Diceros bicornis minor: one gene and its partner. The protein of the gene in region 1 purifies or fractionates together with the protein of each later gene. This does not show direct contact. Links are inferred from orthologs where the notes say so. Each region holds a gene or a part of one and is shown on either strand. Other genes may lie near its edges.

The links. The genes of interacting proteins can lie anywhere in the genome.
Region 2: the proteins of AXIN1 (region 1) and DVL3 purify together in Homo sapiens (affinity purification with western blotting; 3 studies listed by BioGRID and IntAct, with this or other methods). This does not show direct contact. The link is inferred for Diceros bicornis minor from reciprocal best matches to the Homo sapiens genes AXIN1 and DVL3.

The regions. Positions count from the first base shown.
Region 1 is NC_080765.1:47,943,074-47,953,463, reverse strand, and holds the start of AXIN1 (axin-1), read right to left. Parts: upstream 4,384-10,390; 5' UTR 4,274-4,383; intron 83-4,273; 5' UTR 1-82. UniProt on the Homo sapiens protein: Component of the beta-catenin destruction complex required for regulating CTNNB1 levels through phosphorylation and ubiquitination, and modulating Wnt-signaling.
Region 2 is NC_080754.1:39,516,526-39,526,118, forward strand, and holds the start of DVL3 (segment polarity protein dishevelled homolog DVL-3), read right to left. Parts: upstream 4,641-9,593; 5' UTR 4,409-4,640; coding exon 4,248-4,408; intron 1-4,247. Other genes in the region: EIF2B5 (translation initiation factor eIF-2B subunit epsilon), read right to left, coding at 9,381-9,440. UniProt on the Homo sapiens protein: Involved in the signal transduction pathway mediated by multiple Wnt genes.

The sequences.
Region 1 (10,390 bases):
TTGGGACTCTGTGCGTCAATGAACAATGAGCGCTGCACCCTAATACATCAGTACTTACAGCTCCAAAGTGAATCAATCTGTCCTGTTGAAACCATTAAGAGGACAAGGATTAGGAAAGGTGGGTCCATGGAAACATGACCAAGAGGTTTTCTCAAGACAAGACCTGGAATGACGCCCTCCCGCTCGAACTCTAAACCAGAAATGCAGTTTAAATTTTCAATCTTTTGTCACAAGGTTTGTGCTATATTAAAACAATCTCTAACAACTTTTATAACCATAGGAACGCCTTCGGTGCTAAGAAATGAATGCCCAGAACATGGAGAGCACCTCTCCCTTCAAGTGTCATTCTGCGAGAACATCAGAAACCAGCAGCCTGGGGACCTCCCGTCTCAGTTACAGAGCTCAGTGACCGGTCCATCTCTGCCAGCTCCACGAAGGCAGGAGGACTGGAGGAGAGAAAGGAGCTTCTATTCCTAGTCGTACACGCTTGGGTGAGAGCCGGTCCCTCACATGTGATATAAGGATGACCGCCCTCCTGCCCCACAGGGTCTCTTTGAGACTCAGATACGGACAGGAAGGCATGTCGCACACCAGAAGGTGGGCGGGCGTGTCTGCTCCCACGCTGTCCAGGCGAAAGCCACTGTATCTTTCTGCCTGCCCCACCACTTCACACTTAGGATGCCTCACAACATGTGCAGACACATGGGCGAGTTGTCCCTTAACTCTCAACACTGCTGAGAGAGCAGCCCATCGTGGGTCACCCTCAGCATCTTCAACTGAATGATCAAAGGACACCACCACACGCACACACACAGGGGCCTGCTACATCACCAATGTGACCATCTTGCAAGTGCTTCCATCAGAAAGTTGCACTTTTAAAACCTTGCTTATAAAGACAGTGTCCTTCTGATAACAAACGGCAATTGAGTACTCTGAGAAACAGAGAAGGTACAGAAAAATGACACCAAATACCATTATACCTTTTAGCTAAGGAAGCAGACAGCTCACACAATTTAACTCATAAGCTGAAAACCAAACCACCCACCCTCTTGGAGGTCAAGGAACTACAGGTTTGCTGTTGCTGCTATAAGCCTGCCTGGGGTGTGAGGGGGGACTGTCCTGGATCAGGACTCTGCATGGTCTTCAGTCCTCCCTGCTGCATCCTACAGGAGCTCACAGAGCCCACGAGCTCTGGCTACACTTCCAAACCCGGCCATGGGGGTGACTGCAACATGGCCTGCCATGAGATAAGTGGGCTGGCTAGAAGCATGTCCAGTCTAACCACCTGGAGCGCTGAAAAAGCCAGAGGGAGCAAAATAAAACCCTAAAACCTGGTTCCAACACAAAGGGTAGCTCTCCCCAGCCACCACTTCACACTCAGGGCTACTTCACACTGGTATACGTGTAATCCACCCCCTCACACCTGCCTTCTCATGCTGCACACACTTCACCTGCCGGCAGCTGCAGATGGCTAGAAGCGAGAAGCATCCAGAGACAGAGAATAGGTCACAATTATGTGCCCCAAATGACATTTCTGCAGCTAATGACTTTCTATGTAAACTACTGGGTAGGCTGTAATCTCAGCCTTGGCAGGAATGCCCTGTTTCTTAAGGTCAAGGCCCATGGGCTATGGCACCCTGCTGCTCCTGGACCACATCAACTGCAAAGTTGCTTTCTTTGAGCCCTATCAACTTGGAATGAGCACCTTCGGTGTCTCAGCTCCACACCAGCTTGTGGACGTCTAATGTCCTCTTGTCCGGGATGCCATCTTAGGAAAGAGGGCCAGCACCTGGCCCTTGAGCCTTACCCTTGGAGATGCCTTGTAGTTCACTAGCCTTGAGAAAGAACCAAGTCACTGTGTGCAAATGGGAGGCTAATTAGGAGTCACTGTCACTTTCTCTTAAGGTGCTTATGTCTTCTATGTAAATTATTTGTAGCAGGCTGATTTAAACATTTTCTGCAGAACCCACAGCACCTAGCACAAAGTCTTGCAACTAATGAGCACCAATAAATATTTAATTCATTGACATAAAGGAAAACAACACTTGTCATAGATGCCAAATGTTAACTCTTTACAGACGCTAAATTATTGTGCTATAGAACAAGCAGCAAATTCAAGACCCAGCCATTCATTACAAAACAGTGGATGTCTTAAAAAACTAACATTTTAATTCATGTGTGAACAAGTCCCTCTAATCATTTTAAACTATGTTTCATTGCCCAAAAGAAACATTCCTTGTAATTCACATCTATTTTTGGCTGTCAACTGACAGAGACATTTGGTGTCCCTGGGAGCACATGAACACCTCTCCAAATTACTGATGACACTGAAACGTGCTCCAGGTCCTGCAACCTCTGGGTTCCCACAGAGGAGCACACCAGCATTTAGTGTCCGCACGTGTGCATACCACACAGAAAGCAGTTATGTTAATTCAGGTTAGAGTCAAATGCCCACAAGCACTGAGTTTGGCCAACAGCCTGTAACCACCATCAATAAAGGGATTCCATAGAAGGAATCTACAACTCCAATACGGCATTTAAAATCTCATTTAGTCACTGCTGAGGCATACCCCCTGGGTACCAGGGCAGCCAGCTCGATGCTACAGATGTGTATGTATTTATTTATTTTAGTCAAATATAACTTTTGAACTTTTGATCTATATGGACTGTGGAAGTAACAGAGCAAGAATGACATTTTCCCAACTGTCTGCTAATTAAACTCTTGAAGGGTCAGGTCTACTGTTTTACACACAATGCATTCCCCCACCACCTCAATTCTCAATGACTAATGTAACCCAAAAAAGTCCACTTAGCTTTTCTGAAACTAGAAATCCAAGAAACACCAACACCTGCTGAAAATCAAACAGAAACACTGTATTTTGCATGCTCTCCCATCCTTGTCCCTGAATAGAAGTTCTTAAAACTGAAACCCAGATATTGCCGACTATCTTGGGAGGTCACGTTTAGACTGTGTGTGTTCTCCAAAACAGAGCCTGTGGGTCTAAGTATGCCCGAGATTCTTCCTAAAGAAGCAAAGAACATAAAATGCAAGCAAAGAGGAGAAGCCGAGATGCACAATAAGAACTCTTTACAAATTATCTTAGAGATGGGCTGAGAAAAATCCCCAGAGATCTGGTGTATTATTCTCTACTGTCCTCTGTGCCGAGCTACAAGTTTCACTGCCCTGGCTGTGCAGCTCTGGTTCCATGGGGGACTGAATTCCAAAACATGTAGTGGAGGCAGAATCTAAGATCCACACCCGAGAGAGAGTGCTGGAGGCAAGGCATCAATCTGAGAGAGGACAGCCACTGGACAGGCCACCCACAGCTGGACGCAGCCCAGGGCACAGATTCACTCACTCCTACTCTTTGCTGGGGGGAGAGGGAAGGGACGCTCCACTGCCCTGTCTTTCTCCAAGATCCCTGCACAGAATGTCTGGGCCCAGCAGCTACTCTGCACCCCACCCACACCACAAAACATACCCCAGGCAGGAGAACCACAACACACCTGGCACCACACAATCAAACGCAGCAGCTTCCCACCCCAGGTTCCTCCAGGAGCACCACCCACCCCTTCTCGGAAACCGGGGTCTTCCTCACACCCTTCCTCTCCCCCAAACCAAGAGTCTGCACTTCCTGAACCAAAGTCTGCTTCTTCCGTGTTCACACACGCCAGTGTCAACAGTTCTCGCATTCTCCATCCCCTGCTAGCATCCCCCCTCTGACACGCCTGCCTCCACAGCCTTGGACCTCACAGGCCCCACCCCAACCCCCCGCACAGCCTGGGCCCTCCCGCATGCCTCCTCTTGCACCCTCCCCTCACACACTCCAGGGCCCCCTCACAGCCTCCCCTCACACCCTCGGAGCCCACACAGCCTCCCCGCACACCCTCGGAGCCCGCATACCCTCCCCTCACACCCTCCCGGCCCGCACAGCCTCCCCTCACACCCTCGGAGCCCGCATACCCTCCCCGCACACACTCCCGGCCCGCACAGCATCCCCTCACACCCTCGGAGCCCGCATGCCCTCCCCGCACACACTCCCGGTCCGCACAGCCTCCCCTCACACCCTCGGAGCCCGCACAGCCTCCCCTCACACCCTTGGAGCCCGCATACCCTCCCCGCACACACTCCCGGCCCACATAGCCTCCCCTCGCCCTCCTGGCCCGCACCCGCCAAGCCCCTCTTCCGGGTCCCGCCCGCCCGGCCTACGCGGCCTACAATGCGGCCGCACAGGCCCGCGCCCTCGGGAATGCGCCCGGCCCGCACACTCACCCGCGCGCGGCGGCGGGGCCCCGGGCCCGGCTCCCGGAGCGGCGCGGCGCGGCGCGGCCCATGCGCTCAGTGGCGGTGCGGCGGGCGGGACCGGGCGGGGGCGCGGCCCGGGGCCGCCCCCATCGCGCGGCGGCCCGGAGGTGGGCGCGGGGCAGGCCGCGGGGCGCCGCCGAGGCCGGCCGCCGCTCTCCGTGGCCTGCTCCGCGGGGACGCGGCTCCGGCCCGACTCCAGCCGGTCCTGCGGCGGCGGCGGCAGCGGCCGCGATCGCTTCCCTGAGCGGGGAGCCGGAGCCCAGACGCAGAAGCCCAGGCCGGAGCGCCCCCGCCGGCGCCGCCCGGAAGTGCGGGGGCGGGGGCAGGGAGTGGGGCGGGGCCAGGAGCGTGGGGCGGGGGCGGGGCGTGGGGCGGGACTGAGTGTGGGGCGGAGCCGCAGCGTAAAGCTGGCGGAGAGCGTGGGGCGGGGCCGGGACCGCTAGAAGGAGCCACGGTGCACAAACAGGGCTAAGAACGTGTGGGAGGAGCCTCTAACATGGAGGCGGGGCCAGGTCTGTGGGCGGGGCCGAGAGTGGCAGACGGAGCCGGAGCGCAGGGAAGGGCGGAGCCTGGAAAGAGGAGGCAGGGCCTGAGCGCGGATGCGGGGCCAGAGCGCCCAGGCGGGCTTGGGGCGTGAGGCGAGGCAGAGCGAGGGGGCGCGGTCAGATGCACTGATGTGGGGTTGGGGCCTTGGGCGTGCCGCGTGGCCGGGACCCTGTCGAGGGGAGCCGGAACCGGCGGCGGGAAACTGGGCTCGTCCCCCTGGGCGGTGGCGTCCCGGAGGGCGGCGTCAGGGGACGCCCCCGCGAGGTTCCCTGAAGGACCCCGGCCACGGGATGCCCGGCCCGGTGCACACAGCGAGCGGACAGCCGGCCCCGCATCAGGGCACACGCCAGGTCGCAGCCCTTTTCTGCCGCCCACACCGGTGTCCACTGGCCCAGGGCTCCCGAGGTCGGCCCGCGCCCAGCCAGCCTCCCACCGGCTCGGGGCGAGCAGCTTGTGCCTGGGCGGACGGGGTGGCCAGAGGGAGTGGAGACCGCGGGGCTCCCTGCCCGCCGGCCCTGGACAGGAGGACCTTTGCAGGTGGCCCTGGACGGCCACCAACTACCGGCGCACTGAAGGAAGCAGATGTCCAGAAGTTGGGTGGTTGGAGGGCAGAGCCAGGCTGACCGGGAGCTGAGCCCCCGTGATGTCCAGCTCCTGTCTCCACCTTCACCATGCCTGCTGCCCCCTGGCTGGCCAGGACCCTGAGAAGGTGGGCCAGGGCTCTCCCCTCCCCAGGTCCTCAGGCAGTCTGGACTCAGACAGGGCCAAGGCACACAGTGGGCAAGAGGTGTCTGATAATGCTGGCTGTCACTTGGGCAGTAGCCCCAACTGCCAAAGAGCTGTGCTTGAGACTGGCTGAGACCCCACCTCGGCTGGGCCTGCCTGCCTCAATTTCTCCCTGGCACCATCCAGGGTCTGGACAAGGGCTCCCCTTCCCACCACTGCCTGCGGGTCCCATTCGCCCAGGCCAGCCTGAGAGCAATTGCTTCTGGGTGTCCCATTCCCTGCACCCACCATCCCTTCCCCCCAGCTGTCACCTTGGCAGCTCTTGCCTGACCTGCAAGCCTAGCTGGCAAACTCCATGTTGCCTGCCCACCACCAACTCAGATGTGAGCACCACGGACATATGTGAGCGCCAGGAATTGATTACTGCCCCAAGGAATCACTTCTAGGATGCCCCATGACCACCCAGGACCCTGTCCTCCACAGAGCCACGCCAGGCCTGGCACCTCGAGCAATGCCCCCAGCAGCCTCCAGGGGATGGCTGTACCCCCATTCTACAGAAGAGGAAGCTGCAGCTCAGGCCACAAAGAGACCTGCTCACCTCCCAGCCCAGGGCTCCCCAACACCTCATCCACCCCACACCTTCCCCAACAGCCCTCATCTGGCCTGATCTCTGGTGCCCATAGCCTTTCAGGGCCCTTCCCTGACATCTCCTCCACACCACCCTCCCTTGGGTGCCTCTGGTCACTTGCCCACCTTCATGTTTCTACTACCCTGCCCCCCCAAGTCCCCCACGTCACCTCTAATGCCACCGCACCTTCTCCTGGACACTGCTCACCCTTGCTGCCCACCCTCATCCTTCATAGCTCCCAGGCAAGGGCAGAAGTCCCCGCTCAGGGCACTCTGAGCCACCAGCCACCTCCCAGCAGCTGCCCCTGGTGGTGCCTTCCTGTGTGAGCGGGTACAGAGGCATCCCAGCCCCCAGCCACTGCCAGCCGGCCTCCTCCGGGACCGGCACAGCATCCGCTGCCCAGGGTTTTGTAGGAAAGTGGGGCAGTGAGGGATGGGGACCGGGAAGCATCCCCAGCCTGCCAAGGGCCCAGGCCACCTCCTAGGGCCATCACCACACCTCAGGGCAGGCTGGGCAGGGGCTGGGGCTGTGGGTGAGGACAGCACATCACAGGAGCTGCTCTGCTTAACCCACACTGGCCCCACTAGGGTCCTGGCGGCAGGCGTCACTCTCACCTGCATGCAGCTGGGATGGCCTCAGGCCTCGCAGTGCTGGCCACGGGAGACGCCCTTGCAGCTCCTCCCCCACCTTGTTCAGCCTCAGAGACTTCCAGGAGACAGAGTGGTGACCCTCATGGCACAGCATGGTCTCTGTGGGGTGTGGGAGTCCTGGACAGACAGCAGGACTTCCTGGACATTGGCCCTCAGGCTGCCTCCCCACTCCCAGATACGGGCCCTCCACGCTTGCCTTGGTTCTGCAGAGCCACTGCTGCGGCCAGGCCAGGCTCCCAGGGTTGTGTCCACGTCCATCCTCCTCCTGGCGCATGGCAGCAGGTGTCCCCAGGCCCTGGGACCAGAACAAGGCCCTCGGGCTTCTGGCTTCTCAGGGCCCCCGCCCTGCAGGGACAGGAAGGGAGTCAGAAAGCTTGGAGGATACGCAGCAGCCCTGCCACAGTGGGTTACGGCTGTGGGCGTGCAGGGGACATTGTCTGAGCAGGGTGGAGTGGGGGTGGGCCAGATAAGCGAGCTCAGTGAAGACTCTGAAGAGAGGGAGGGCGGCCCTGGGGGCCTGCAGTGGAGCAGGGGTGAGCTGGCAGGGGGACTGCATCAGGCACCTGGAGCTGAGACCAGTCACAGAGCCGTGGGAGCCTCCCTTCTGAACAGGCTAGTCCCGAGACGGAGCCACGTCCTTTCTTTACAGAAGCCCTTTAAAACCCAACTCCCCTTCTCTGGGAGTGGGAGTCTGCCACTAGAGGCTTCCATTTGATTAACTGGGGACAAAATTCATTCAGGCTTTCCCTGAACTAAACGAGAAACTTAAGAGCAGAAATGAGGGCCGGCCTGGTGGCTTAGCGGTTAAGAGCGCGCGCTCCGCTACTGGCGGCCTGGGTTCGGAAGCCCCAGCGTGCACGGACGCACCGCTTCTCCGGCCATGCTGAGGCGGCATCCCACATACAGCAACTAGAAGGATGTGCAACTATGACATGCAACTATCTACTGGGGCTTTGGGGAAGAAAAAAAAAAAAAAGGAGGAGGATTGGCAATAGATGTTAGCTCACAGCCGGTCTTCCTCAGCAAAAAGAGGAGGATTAGCACGGATGTTAGCTCAGGGCTGATCTCCCTCACAAAAAAAAAAAAAAAAAGCAGAAATGAAATTATTTTCTTCAACTTAGACAAAAAAGGAATACTTTGAAATAAACTGAGCTTGGAAGCCTCACACGTGTTCGTCCGCTTGGCTGAGAAAGCTTATGAAAAGTGACCCAAAGGAATCCCCCCGGCAGGCACCCAGGAGGCACGCCAAGGCGCGGCCTGATGCGCGGTGGGGAACACCAGCACCAGAGAAAGAGCTACAGAGATGGGACACTGTGCGGCAGATCCCCATGGTCTTCCTGGGTGCGCAGGACAGGGCTTCTAGAGGTGGGGGTGGGCGGGCAGGCTGGGGAGGGAGGCCTTGACTTATCCAGTTCTGACCAATGAGGAGTGGACTTCCCTGTGAGGCGCAGCCCCAGTCACACTGGCCAGCCACCTTCCTGGCCGTAAGCCCAGCCCCCTGGGCTCCATCTCTGGCCTGAGTGTCCTTTTTCCATCCGTTCTGAGCTCGGGGGAGGGCAAGGTGTTGTTTGTGCCACCATCCCAGGCCCAACAGAGGGTGCAGAGATGTTGCACCAAGATGGAGAGACATAACACCAAGGAGAAAAGCTAGGAGACAGTGCGTGCATGGTGCCCGCTTTTGTGAGCACAGGAAATGTGGGTATACAGTCAAGAAGACTGAAGAACCATCCTGGAGCATTAACACCCGTTGTTGCTAGACAGCAGGATTGGGGTGGGCTCCCTTCTCTTCTTTGTGCCTTCAGGAAGAAGTTCTACAACGATGTTGCTGTTATGATCACGTGGAGACCCTGAAGTTCTGCAGCAGCGCCATCTCTCCATCAACGCTCAGTATAAGTTAACCCATTGGAGCAGCTCGGGCAGAGGGTTGAGAACTGGGGGACGACAGAGCTGACCCATTGGGCAGTGCTGGGCAGGGTGGCAGGCCCTGTGCTGTGCCTGTGGCAGTCACCCAGAGTTGGCCCCAGGACCAGTGAAAAGGTGCCACCTCGAGCTTCCTGGGCCGGCCCAGCTTCCCGTGGACACTCTGGGCTGGAGCTCCCTGGGCCCCGAGTCTGCGTCTGGCAGGTCCCCCCGCCTCTTTCCTCCTGTGTTTGGCTCCTCTCGCCCTTCACACTGGGGCAGGTGTGTTGTCCAGGCTGGCATCTTGCATCCCTCTTGCTGTCTGGAATTCTCTCGCCAGCCCTTCAGCTGAAGCTGCCTCAGGCAGACGCCCTGGGAGTGATCTGGGGTCCCGCGGCCAAGCTGGGGAGGTACAGGGACGGGAGCAGGCCTTTGCCTCAAACAGGTCAGCTCCAGTGTCAGCCCAGTGTCCACCGCTGCATGCATGATACCCGGCGTGACTGTCACCTTCCACCTGGCTGCTGTATGTCTTCCTGTGCTGATGGTCCCTGTCCTAAGGGACGTCGTCAGCCACATTCAGGGCTTGTCACACCTTCCCTGCTCTCCCGACCCAGGTGAGGAGGTCCCCCCACAGGGGCACGTGGCAGCCTCTCACAAAAGGCCACTGTGGTCACCGTGCACTGTGCTGTTTCCCACTCACTCTCGGTACAGGGTCCCCGCCTAGCCAGTCAGTGTCATGCTTGTCTGCATGGACGACTCACCCAGCAGACCTGACACAGCCCCCCACAGCCCCACTGGCTCCCATGAGTCAAGGGTCAGGCCCAGGGCTGACAGGGCAACAGTGGCATGGCGGCAGATATGTGGCCCCAAGGGCAGGGCATTCCATCCCAGGGTGCCCTCCACACCCTGACTCAAGTCTCACTTCGTGTCCTGAGGGCGTCCTGTTACCCAGGCTGAGGGGCACAGTAGGGATACCTTCCCACACTGCTTTTCTGGAGGATTCTGACCCTAAGGACGTGTCCGGGGGTCCAGGAGATGGTTGAGTAGGCTCAGGGCTAAAGGGGCAGCATTGAGGGTTTGAGGTGCGAGATGGGCCCCACTGGCCACAAGGGCCTGGGAAGGATGAGGGGAGAGCAGCCCGCCCACCACCAACCCCGCACCTCCCCAACTTGGGAGCCTCAGGGATGTGAGGGGTGCCGCCCGGGCTGCCTGGCTCCCACCTCCCTGGACTCTTGAGCATCTGCCTGTGTCTCAGGCCAGCCAGTGGCTCAGGGTGAGCCAGAGTACCCTCCCTGGCAAAATGAGGGTCCTGACCCGACCCTGCTGGCCTCAGAGGCCCGTGCGCAACCCTTGGTGAATGGGCCAGGCCGTGGGGTGGAGCCACTGCTGGCCGTGGCCCAGGTCAAGTGTCTCAAACTCGTCACAAGCAATGGGAATGGCCTGCTGGCCTCCCCCAACCCCAGGGACGGTGGTGTCTGAGTGGAGGGGCAGTGCTGCTGAGGGGCCTCCAAATTCTGGAAGCAGCAGGGGAAGTCACCTTCCAGGCAGCCTCAGGTATGCCTGCCCTCCTGCCAGGCAGACTTTCACCCTTGTCCTTGCTGTTCCCTCACAGGGAATGCTCTTCCCTGGCCTGAC
Region 2 (9,593 bases), on another chromosome or scaffold:
AACCCAGACTCCATCAAACACCCCAGGAGTACAGAGCTGGAAAGACAGGATCAGGGGCAGAGGAAGACACATGAGCAGAGCGGGAAGATAGCAGGGAAGGCGGCTGGGAAGCCCAGTCCTCCCTTGTTCTCGGAGCAGCTTCTGCCCAGAGCCGGGAACGTGCTTGGCTCCTTGTGATGTTCACATTCTTGGACTCACAGCCAAGTTCGAAGGCCGAGCCTGCCCTCCTCCCTCCCATCAAGCTCTGGCTCCCCCACCATTTCCAACCCCACAGCGACCCCAAGAAAGCAGCTCAAATCATCCTGCTCAGGCCACCATGGCAGAAAGCCTGCAGACAGAACAGGCTGGAAAGGAGGGACAGAGACGTAGCTCGGACCCACCAGCCAGTCTGTTCACAGGGCACACCTAGCTTGCAGCCCCCTCTGGGAACAGGGGTTTGTGGACCACACGGCAGGAGCTGTGACCTGCTTTGGAGAGGGTCTCTCTGTGGTGGGAAACTGCTGCCGAGTCCCCACTCCCCATCCCCCAGCGGCCCCAACACACAGCTCCACACTACAGATGTTTCCTTTCTTTCTGGGGGTCACTGACGGGTCGCCAAGGCTCTGCTGACTCACAAGGATCAGCTGATCTTCAGCAGCCTTGGGGGACCTCAGACAGGCCTCTCCCTCCCACTGTGGAGCTGAGTGGCTCAGGGTTCCATAGCTCTCACACACACACACCCCAAGTGGAGTCGGACAAATCTGGGTTCAAATTCCAATACTGCCACTTATTAGCCCTCCTCTCTTAGAGAAGTTTCTTAACTATTCCAAGCCTTTGTCTCTCATCCTGGTAAATGGGATTTGTAAATGGCTGGCATGGTCCAGTCATACAATAAAAATAGTTACTAACTTTGTCAAATTTTAGCAGGATCCATACTCTGTCTAATGAGGTGTAAGTTTCTAAGGGCAGCGACCAAACAAATCTGCTCATCGTTCATCATTCATTCAATTAAAAGGCCTTTGCTGAGAGCCCAGTGGCTTTTAAGTCCTGTGCTTGCGATGCTATGGACCTCAAGAAGCATCAGACCTGGAGCCTGCCTTATCCTCGGGGGTTACGGTCCAATGGACAGTTCACTAAGTATACCACAAGCAGGAAGTGGTCAGAGCCGTAAGAGCAGCAGACGTGTTCCCTCGACAGACATCTGCTGATTACTTAGGTGTCAGGTCCTGGCTAGGAGCCAGGTAGGTGTAAGGATAAACAGAATAAAGTGTGGTAACTTTAAAAGCTTAACCCAGAGGACAGGAGAATTTGGACCAGACAAGAGAAGAGAAGAAGAGTGCTCCAGGTAGAAGGCCCGAGACAGGTATGACACGGAGCAGGGAGCAACACAGTGAGTGGCCCAAGGTCCCATGTTGCTCCCTCCCACAGCTCAAGGACATGCCAGCAGTGGGTACCTTGTTCTTCCCCCCACCATCTCCTCAGTGCTGAAAATGTTTATTCTTCTTCCATTTCTCAAATGACTTAAGAAGGCTGTGCCTACCCTGAGCTTGACAAATACTTCTGGAGACCAGATGGGAGTTGGGGAGTCCTTGGGCCTTACAAACCAGAACCTCAGAGGGTGAGCCTGGAGAGACTGAATGAAAGCAGCCTTCCTCCTCTGACCTACTTTCCCATCTGTCAGCAGGGGTTCCTGACCTCTGCCCTGACCCTCCTCTCATGGGGCTAGGATAAGTGGCAGCCCTATCACCTCTACAGTTTGCCAAGGCTCAGCATCTCCCTCAGAGAGGATGTATCTGTTAAATGGTGATAATAATAATACTTACAACTGTGTGATTAAGGCCCTACACTGTGGAGGCAGATTCCTGATGTTGAATCAAGTTCTGCCACTTACTAGCTGTGTGACCTTGGGTAAGTTACTTAAGTTTTCTGTGCTCTAGTCGCCTCATCTATAAACTGGAGATATTACACCTATTTCACAGGGCTGTTAAAAGGATTGAATGAGTAAAGATTTGAAAAGCATTTAGATCAGTGCCTGCACACTGTAAGCACATAGAAAGAGTTTGTTAAGTAAGTGAGATATAGATATATACATGCTCCTCAGCTATTCCTCTGTGACAAGACAGCCCTACCAGCTCTCTTGCTCATTAATCTTTCTGGGGATAAAAACAAAATCAACCTCCTCCACTTCTTTTTAGCATTGTTCTCAACCCTGTTAAATTGGCTCTAATTTTTTGGTTTCCTCTAATATTTTGCAAAGGATGGTTCAAGTACCACTGAGGTATGCAAGATGGCTTCGCGTGTACCTGAATGAACGTTTAATTCAATAGTTAAGTATTTATTTTTCACATATTTTAGAAAGAAATATAGATAAAAAATCGGACCTGTGATTTCATATTATTGATTGGGTCAAGCTAAGAAAGAGTGAGTGGACTGACAGTGGATTTAAAGAACAATATTAAGTCAGCAGTGAGTGGATGTAATGGGGTCCCTCCTATGACTGCAGTTAGGCTTGGCTTGACAGCAGCCTGGGGAGAGTGGGAGGCAGCCCAGAGAGGTCTAGGCTCAGGAGGTGGGGGTAGGCCCAGTGGGCTCAGGGATGAGTGGGACTCAGGGATGAGAGGCGGTTGGAGACACAGACTTATCCTAGTCCCTCAAGGCATCTGGCCCCAGGGTGGCCCCCTACTACAGTAGACTCTAGCTGATTTCCCCCTATCTCATACCCTGAGGCAGTATCTTGGTCTCTTCTGACTCTATTCTCTTACCAGGCCAAGGCATCTGCCCCCTCACTCCCACCCCCAGCAGATCGATCCCTCTTCAGAATCTTCCAATCAGGGGTGTCCTTCTCTGGACTGAAGCGAGATAATCATTACTACACCAGGAGTACCCCACCCCAGGGCAGGAACAACAACAACAGAAACAGGAGTTAGAAGCTGCATAGCACTTCCCACTATATAAAGCACTTATGATCTCATGGGCTCATGGAACTCTGAGTTCCAGGGGGAAAGGTGACAGCAAAACATGCCAGGCAGAAGAGAGAGAAGGTGCTTGCTTTGCTTCCCAGGGCAGGAGGGCCGGGGTCCTGGGAGAGAAGCCACACTGATGAACACTGGGGAGAAGAATGTCCCCCCTCACTCAGCTCTGGGGCCTCAGCTCCCAAGAGCAGTACAGGCCTCAAGCTAGGGCTGGAGCAGCAGCTTTTAGGCCTGGAGGGCCCAGGAGGGCCTTCCCCACAGGCCTCCAGGCCCAGTGCCCAGTTAGTGTGGGGCAGACTAGTGTGGGGGCCTCCCCCTCCCCCAGTCTCCTGGGAGTTGGGGGGGTGGTGAGGGGATCGGCCAGGCTCCCCCTCCTAGGCCAGCTGCTACAGAACCTTCCGGCTCCAACATTCCATCCCCTCTTAAAGGGGAAGTCGCTGCTTCCAAACTCCGCCTGTCCAAAGCCCTGCAGCTGGGTGGAGAAGACCCCGCCAGGGAGGGGAAGATGAAGAACACTAAGAGACTCTTCCTGGCCCTCCCATCCAGGCTCTGAGGCCCTTTCCAAGGTCTCCTCCTCGGCCACCATCTGGAGGAAAAAGGCCCCAATTCGGAGGGAAAATCAGCACCTGGGCTAGTGAGGACTCCTCCCAGGGGCCGGCGCTCTGCTCCCTTGATAACATCCTGAACACCCCAAGAGAGAGAGGGGAGACAGCTAAATAAACATCAGGTCTGCAGGCCTTAGCTTACAGCCTGGCGCCTAAGCACCCTCCATCTCACCCCCTCCTCCAGTTCAAAGTCCTGCACCATAGCCCTTAGATGCATGATACTCCAAATATGGCTCTGAGTTGTGGAGCCGAAAAGATGGAGCAGGCGAAGGCCGAGTGCCCAACACCCCAAGTCTATGCTACAAAGGTGGCTCCCTTGGCAGGAGGAGGGTTGGGGATTCTGGCTCTGGAACTGGGTGGAGGGGGGTGTGTGTCTGTCTATGTGGGCCGCTGGTCTCTGAGGAGGTGAGGGGACTTGACTGGGCTGAAATTCTGATTGCTTTGGGGGAGTTGAACGTCACCCTAAACTAGGGAGACCAAGGTCCCCCGAAAGAGGGGAAACGAGAGTCCCTCGAGGGGCTGAACTCCAGCCTCTGAAAAAGCCAAGGGGGCCCAAATAGCCGGGTCGCCCCTTAGAATCCAGAGCAGGGCTAGGAGCCAGTGTAGCAAAGGGGAGTCCAAACTGGCCAAGTGGCTCCCAGAAGCCGGAGGGGCTGGGGTCCCCCAGAGGCGAGGCGGGGGCCATCCTCACCCGAAATCGTCGTCCATAGACTTGAAGAAGAACTTATAGCTGGGTCGCTGCAGAACGCCCTTAAAGTCCGCCAAGGTGACGCGCTCGGCGGGCAGGGGCAGCTTCACCAGGTACGGCGTCTCCTGCCCGTCCAGGTGGTAGATGATCTTGGTCTCGCCCATGGCTCCGGCCTCGGGCCCGGCGGCCCGCGCGCGGCCTGCTTGGGCGGCCGGGCCGGGCCTCTCGGGCGGCGGCGGCGCTCGGCGCGACCCAGCGGCTCAGCCCAGTCGGCGGCCGGCCGCGGCGCCAGCTCCCTTGTTCTTCAGCCGCTCCCGGGTCCCAGCGCCGCCTGCCGCCGCCGCGGCCGCCGCTTCCGCTCCCCACTCTTCGGCTCGGCTGGCGACGGCGACTCTTCCGGTGGCCGCGGCCCTCTCGGCTCTGGGCTGCAGCCGGGCCCGCTCCCCTCCCCTGGCCCCGGCGCGGCCCCGCCCCGGCGCGGCCCCGCCCCCGCCGCCGCCAGCCGCGCTGGCCTCGCGGCAGATGTCCTGGCCCCGGGCCTGGCCCCGCGGACACCCCGCCCACCGGCCGGGCGGCGCGCTCCTGCTCCTGCGCTCCGGTCCCAGGCGCGCGGCGAGCGTCGCGACGGTCACCTAGGCCCCCAGAGATGGAAGGGCAGATCTCACTAGGATGGCCGCCTTCCTGGACTCTTCAAGGACCTTGCTCTGGACCCGAGGGGGATCTTGGCTGCTCCTCTGCAGCTGGCAGGGGTGAAATGCAGGGGTCCCTTTGGTTCCCAGAGATGGGAGGGGGAGCGCGGTTCTGATCATGTATAGCTGGAAGAAAGTGACCTCGACATGGCCATTTAGGGTCTGTTGAGAAGCACAACTGCTCTCACTGAGTCTCCAAACTGAGCTCCTTGAGGACAGAACAGGATCGAGTTCTAATTCCTTCTTAAAACCTCAGTACCTAGGTGCAAAGTAGTGGTTTAATAAGTGGATTGAATCCAGAATGGGTACAATAATGAAAATGCTCTCAAACGGAGAACTAGGTATAAGCAGTTCCTAATAGACCTCCTCACTCCTTAGCTTTTAATTCATTTAATAAATATTGAGTGCCTACTATGTGCAAGGCAAACTGTATAAGATACAGCAAAAACAAGACAGGCTGCCCTCAGGACCTTGGCTCATCTGCAAGGAGGCACAAGCTTGTATTTAAATAACTTTAGAGTGACAAATGCTATGAAAAAGATAAAATGGAGTGATGTGATAATAACCGGAAAGAGGATTATGGGTGGTCAGAGAAGGCCTCTTCCATTTGAGCTAAGACCTAGAATTAATGAAGAAGCAGCTATAAGAAGGTCTGGTCTGCAGCAGGCAGACCAGAGTCTGCATTCCAGGCAGAGGGCACAGCCAAATTCAAAGGCTTAAGGCAGGAATAAACTCGCCAAATTTGAGGAACAAGAAGCAGGCCATTGTGACTATAGGGATAGTGGTAGATGAGGCTGAAAAGGTAGATTGGAACCAGATCACAAAGGTCCTTTTAGGCCACAGTAACAAGTGTGGGCTCCTCCCACTCCATTTTGTACACTGTGGCCAAATTAGCATTTCAAGAGTAAGTACAGTCATGTGCAGCATAATGAGGTTTTGGTCAACAATGGACCGAATATACATAAGATTAGTACCATATAGCCTAGGTGTGTAGTGCGCTATACCATCTAGGTTTGCGTAAGTACATGCTATGATGTTCACTATGAAATCGCCTAACAACGCATTTCTCAGAATGTGTCCCTGTCATTAAGCGACGCATGACTGTACCTCTTTCAGACACTTCTTTTGCTCAGAACTCTCCACATTCCCCAATGCCTTCCAAATATTCTTAGCATGATATTCAAAGCCTTCCATAATCTAACTTTTTCCTACCTTTAAAGCCTTTTGTTTCAGTATGTCCTGGCTAAATTTTTTACTTCAGCAAATCAACCTATTTGCTAGCCCCTGCACACACCTTGTATATTTTCATTTCATACCCTTCTCTTTACTTTAAATTTTATTAAAGTAATATGTGTGGCCGGCCCCCATTTCCTTTTATTTTTAAATGATTTCATCTCTTTGCAAGATTTTGTTAACATTATTTCCAACCTTTCTCCTATCCAATTGGATAGGTAAAATATTCCCGATTGAAAATTCAAGTACATAAGGATGGATGTACAGTCTCTTTCCTATTTGGTTCTCTAGTCCTCCAGCTCTCAAAAGGAAATAATTCATTTACTTATTTTTAATTTCTAAGAACTCTTTTGTTCTCCAATTGTTCCTTCACAGACACAATATCTTTCCTCTTTGAGTTTTGAGAATACTAATTATAGCTTTCCCCTCCTGAAGTTTTCAAAAAGCTCCCTACTTTGTCACTGTTTCCTTCGTTTCAATTTTCTGTGTTTTGGTCTCTGCCTTTCACGCTGGAAGTTTCCTCAAATGTTTGATGGCCCTAAGCAGTCTATTCACGTTTAAGAGTGAGATACTAAAAAGCTGATTGGGAGCTCTGTCCATGCATACGGCTTATTAACTAACAGGCTTCACTGTAGGGTGATCCAGTGGGGGAAAGATGACTTCTCCCCGAATAAATAAAAAATGTTAAGTATTTGCAGGTCCTTTTTCTGCAGTTGTTCAGTTTGTTTTCGCCTGGGAGTATAAGTCGGTGTATGCTGATATTCAGAGCCTTACCACTCATATACTATCACTTAATCCCTCATTTTCAATCTAGCCCCTCACCCGCATCTCTACCATGCCTGCTGTTGAGTCCAGAGGCTCTAATAGTTTACGTATTCCCTGAGGTTCTGAAATTTCATGGGGCTATTTCATTCATTATGCTGGGTGCTCATGGGCTCTGTCAGTCTGGAAACTCATGACCTATGGGTTTAGGAAACCTTTGTAAATATTTCTTTGATAATTTCCTCCCCATCGTTTCTCCAAAGACTCAATCTTCCATTTCTTGCGGGGGAGAAGTTGCGGTAATCACCTGGCTGGATCAGATGAGGGGGACCTGGGGGGCTTTTTCTTAAACAGATCTTTTTCGAATTTCCTTCCACCTCACCTCTAGCTCTCAGCCCCAATCCTTACCTCCTCTGCTGAGCCTTTTCTGGGTCCAGAAGGGCACACTGGTTTGCTTCTTGTTAATAACCACCTCAGCAGGTAAAACCCATCTCATTCTGCTCTGCCAGGTCAACTTTCACTCTTCCATTTATTTTTCATTTTCCAAAATGTTGATGTCTCTCATTATTGTCATCACCTCCTGTTTTCCTTATCATTGAATCATGTGCCTTTTTTGAAGTCCTTTACTGGCATTTGAATGGGTTTTGGAGGGAGTAAAAAGCCCATGTCTTTAATTTGCACATTTAAGTAGAAATCCTTGGCTTTGCTTTTGCCATTCTACCTTTTCTGTTTTTTAGGCCACTCAAGCATCACAATCCTGTAAGCCTTCCCTAATCACCCCAACTGGAAGGACCCTCTTCCTCCTAAAAAGTTCTATAGGCCACTTCTGATCTCTGCCACCCATTAGGTACAAATCAGAGGTGCCCTATAACTATTTGTATTTAACTGCCCCTATTAGGTCCATGCCATAAACAGAAACTGAGATTTATTGAATAAGAAAAGTAAATTAAGTCAAACCCCGGCCAGCCTATCTTTTCTTCTTTAGAAATACTCAGTAATGCCCCTTCAAACCCCTGAGTACAGTTCAGTATCCTCTTCCTCAGCTTATTCCTTTCCACCCAAATGAAATGAAGAAAGGCAACCATTTTATCTATGATGTCCAGGAGGGCTACTTGTTACCAGTAACATTTGCCACAGTTTAAGTGTCAACAGAGTAAGGGTTATAGGAAGGCAACCAAGAGCTCAAAAAGATGAGCTAGAAGGGCATGTCTCATGGTTGAGGTTAGAGGAGACAATACAGCAAACTGACAAATTCCAGCTTTAGAGTCCAATAACAAATCCTGGCTCTATCAATTACCAGCTATGGGACCTCTTTGAACTTCAGGCTCCTCATCTGAAAATGGGGATAAGACCTACCTCACAGGGCTGATGTGAAGGTTAACTAAAATAACACATGAAAAATATTTAGCAAAAAAAAAAAGCAAAATGCCTATCATACAGTAATCAGTCTCTCAATATCAGAGGAAAGCCCATTTCACAGGATCTTCCTCTGTCTTAGGATATCCATTGCTGGCTTGGGGTTATATTTGCCTGTGAGGGCCATTTCCCTTTACCTGGACACTGAATAAGCTGAAGCAGAAAGAATTCTGGATTATGAGGCTCAAGTGCTGGATTATGAGGCTCAAGTCCTTAGCCTTACCCCTCAGGAGTCATGAGACCTTGAGCAAATTTCCTTTTCTTTAAGATGAAAAGTAGCTCAGCTTCCCTGACAGCAGTACTGGATCAACTGGACAAAGTACATGAGGGACTGGTAGGTGGTTAATGGACTGACTTACACTTGGCATCATCACCCTCTGGCAGAAAAGTGTTTGGACTAGGACTCCCTATGGAAAAAGGCTCAGGCACACCACCTCAGGATCACAAGTTGGTCCATAGAGGCTAGAAAAGAATCTAGGCCCTCCACTATCCATAAGCCATGGCAATGGTCAATTAGCGAGGCACCACAGTACCACCTAGTGGCCATAATAGCCCTCTTCGCCCTCTCCCCCAGGTGTTAAGGAAAAGCTGACATGTCAGAGGTTTAGAACTCTTTGGTCGCCTACTTCATCGGCTGATCAGTCAGAGCTGGAAGGAAACCAAATACACTCCTCTCTCTCTTTTTTAATATTAACAAATACAAGCAGCAGAGAGGGCCAGCTGCTCTCTGCTGTTCCCTGAGGGAACGCCAGAACACAAAGCTGTTCCTCTGGCCTTCCTCTAACTACAGGGCCTGTTTCGCTCCTCCTTAGGCAGAGCTTTGTTCCAGCCCAGCTTCCCTCATCCCAATTCCCCAGTGGGGATGGGAGGCACGTGGTTGCTGGCGGTGGGAAGAATACTGTAATTCCAGCCTCTGCTCCTTTAAGTCTCAGCTCAGACGGTGGTCACTCAACCTTCTGCAACTAGCCTCTTGCTTGCCCTGGCCCAGAAGCCAGGAGGGCAATCAACCACACCCACGGGAGCAGGCAGTGTGACTTCAGTCATCTTCAGATGACTCCTCTTCTGCCTCTTTTAGCCACTGGATGAACCTCTGCAGCTGTAAGAAAGCAGAGTGGATAGCTACTGAGAGAGGGACACATAACCCTCCTGTTCTCCTTCGTGGATAAACAGTTCTAACAATCAGAGTCCCAGGGACCAACCATCCTGGAATCTAGGGCCAACGGCCAGGGAACAAGACAACCACTCCGTG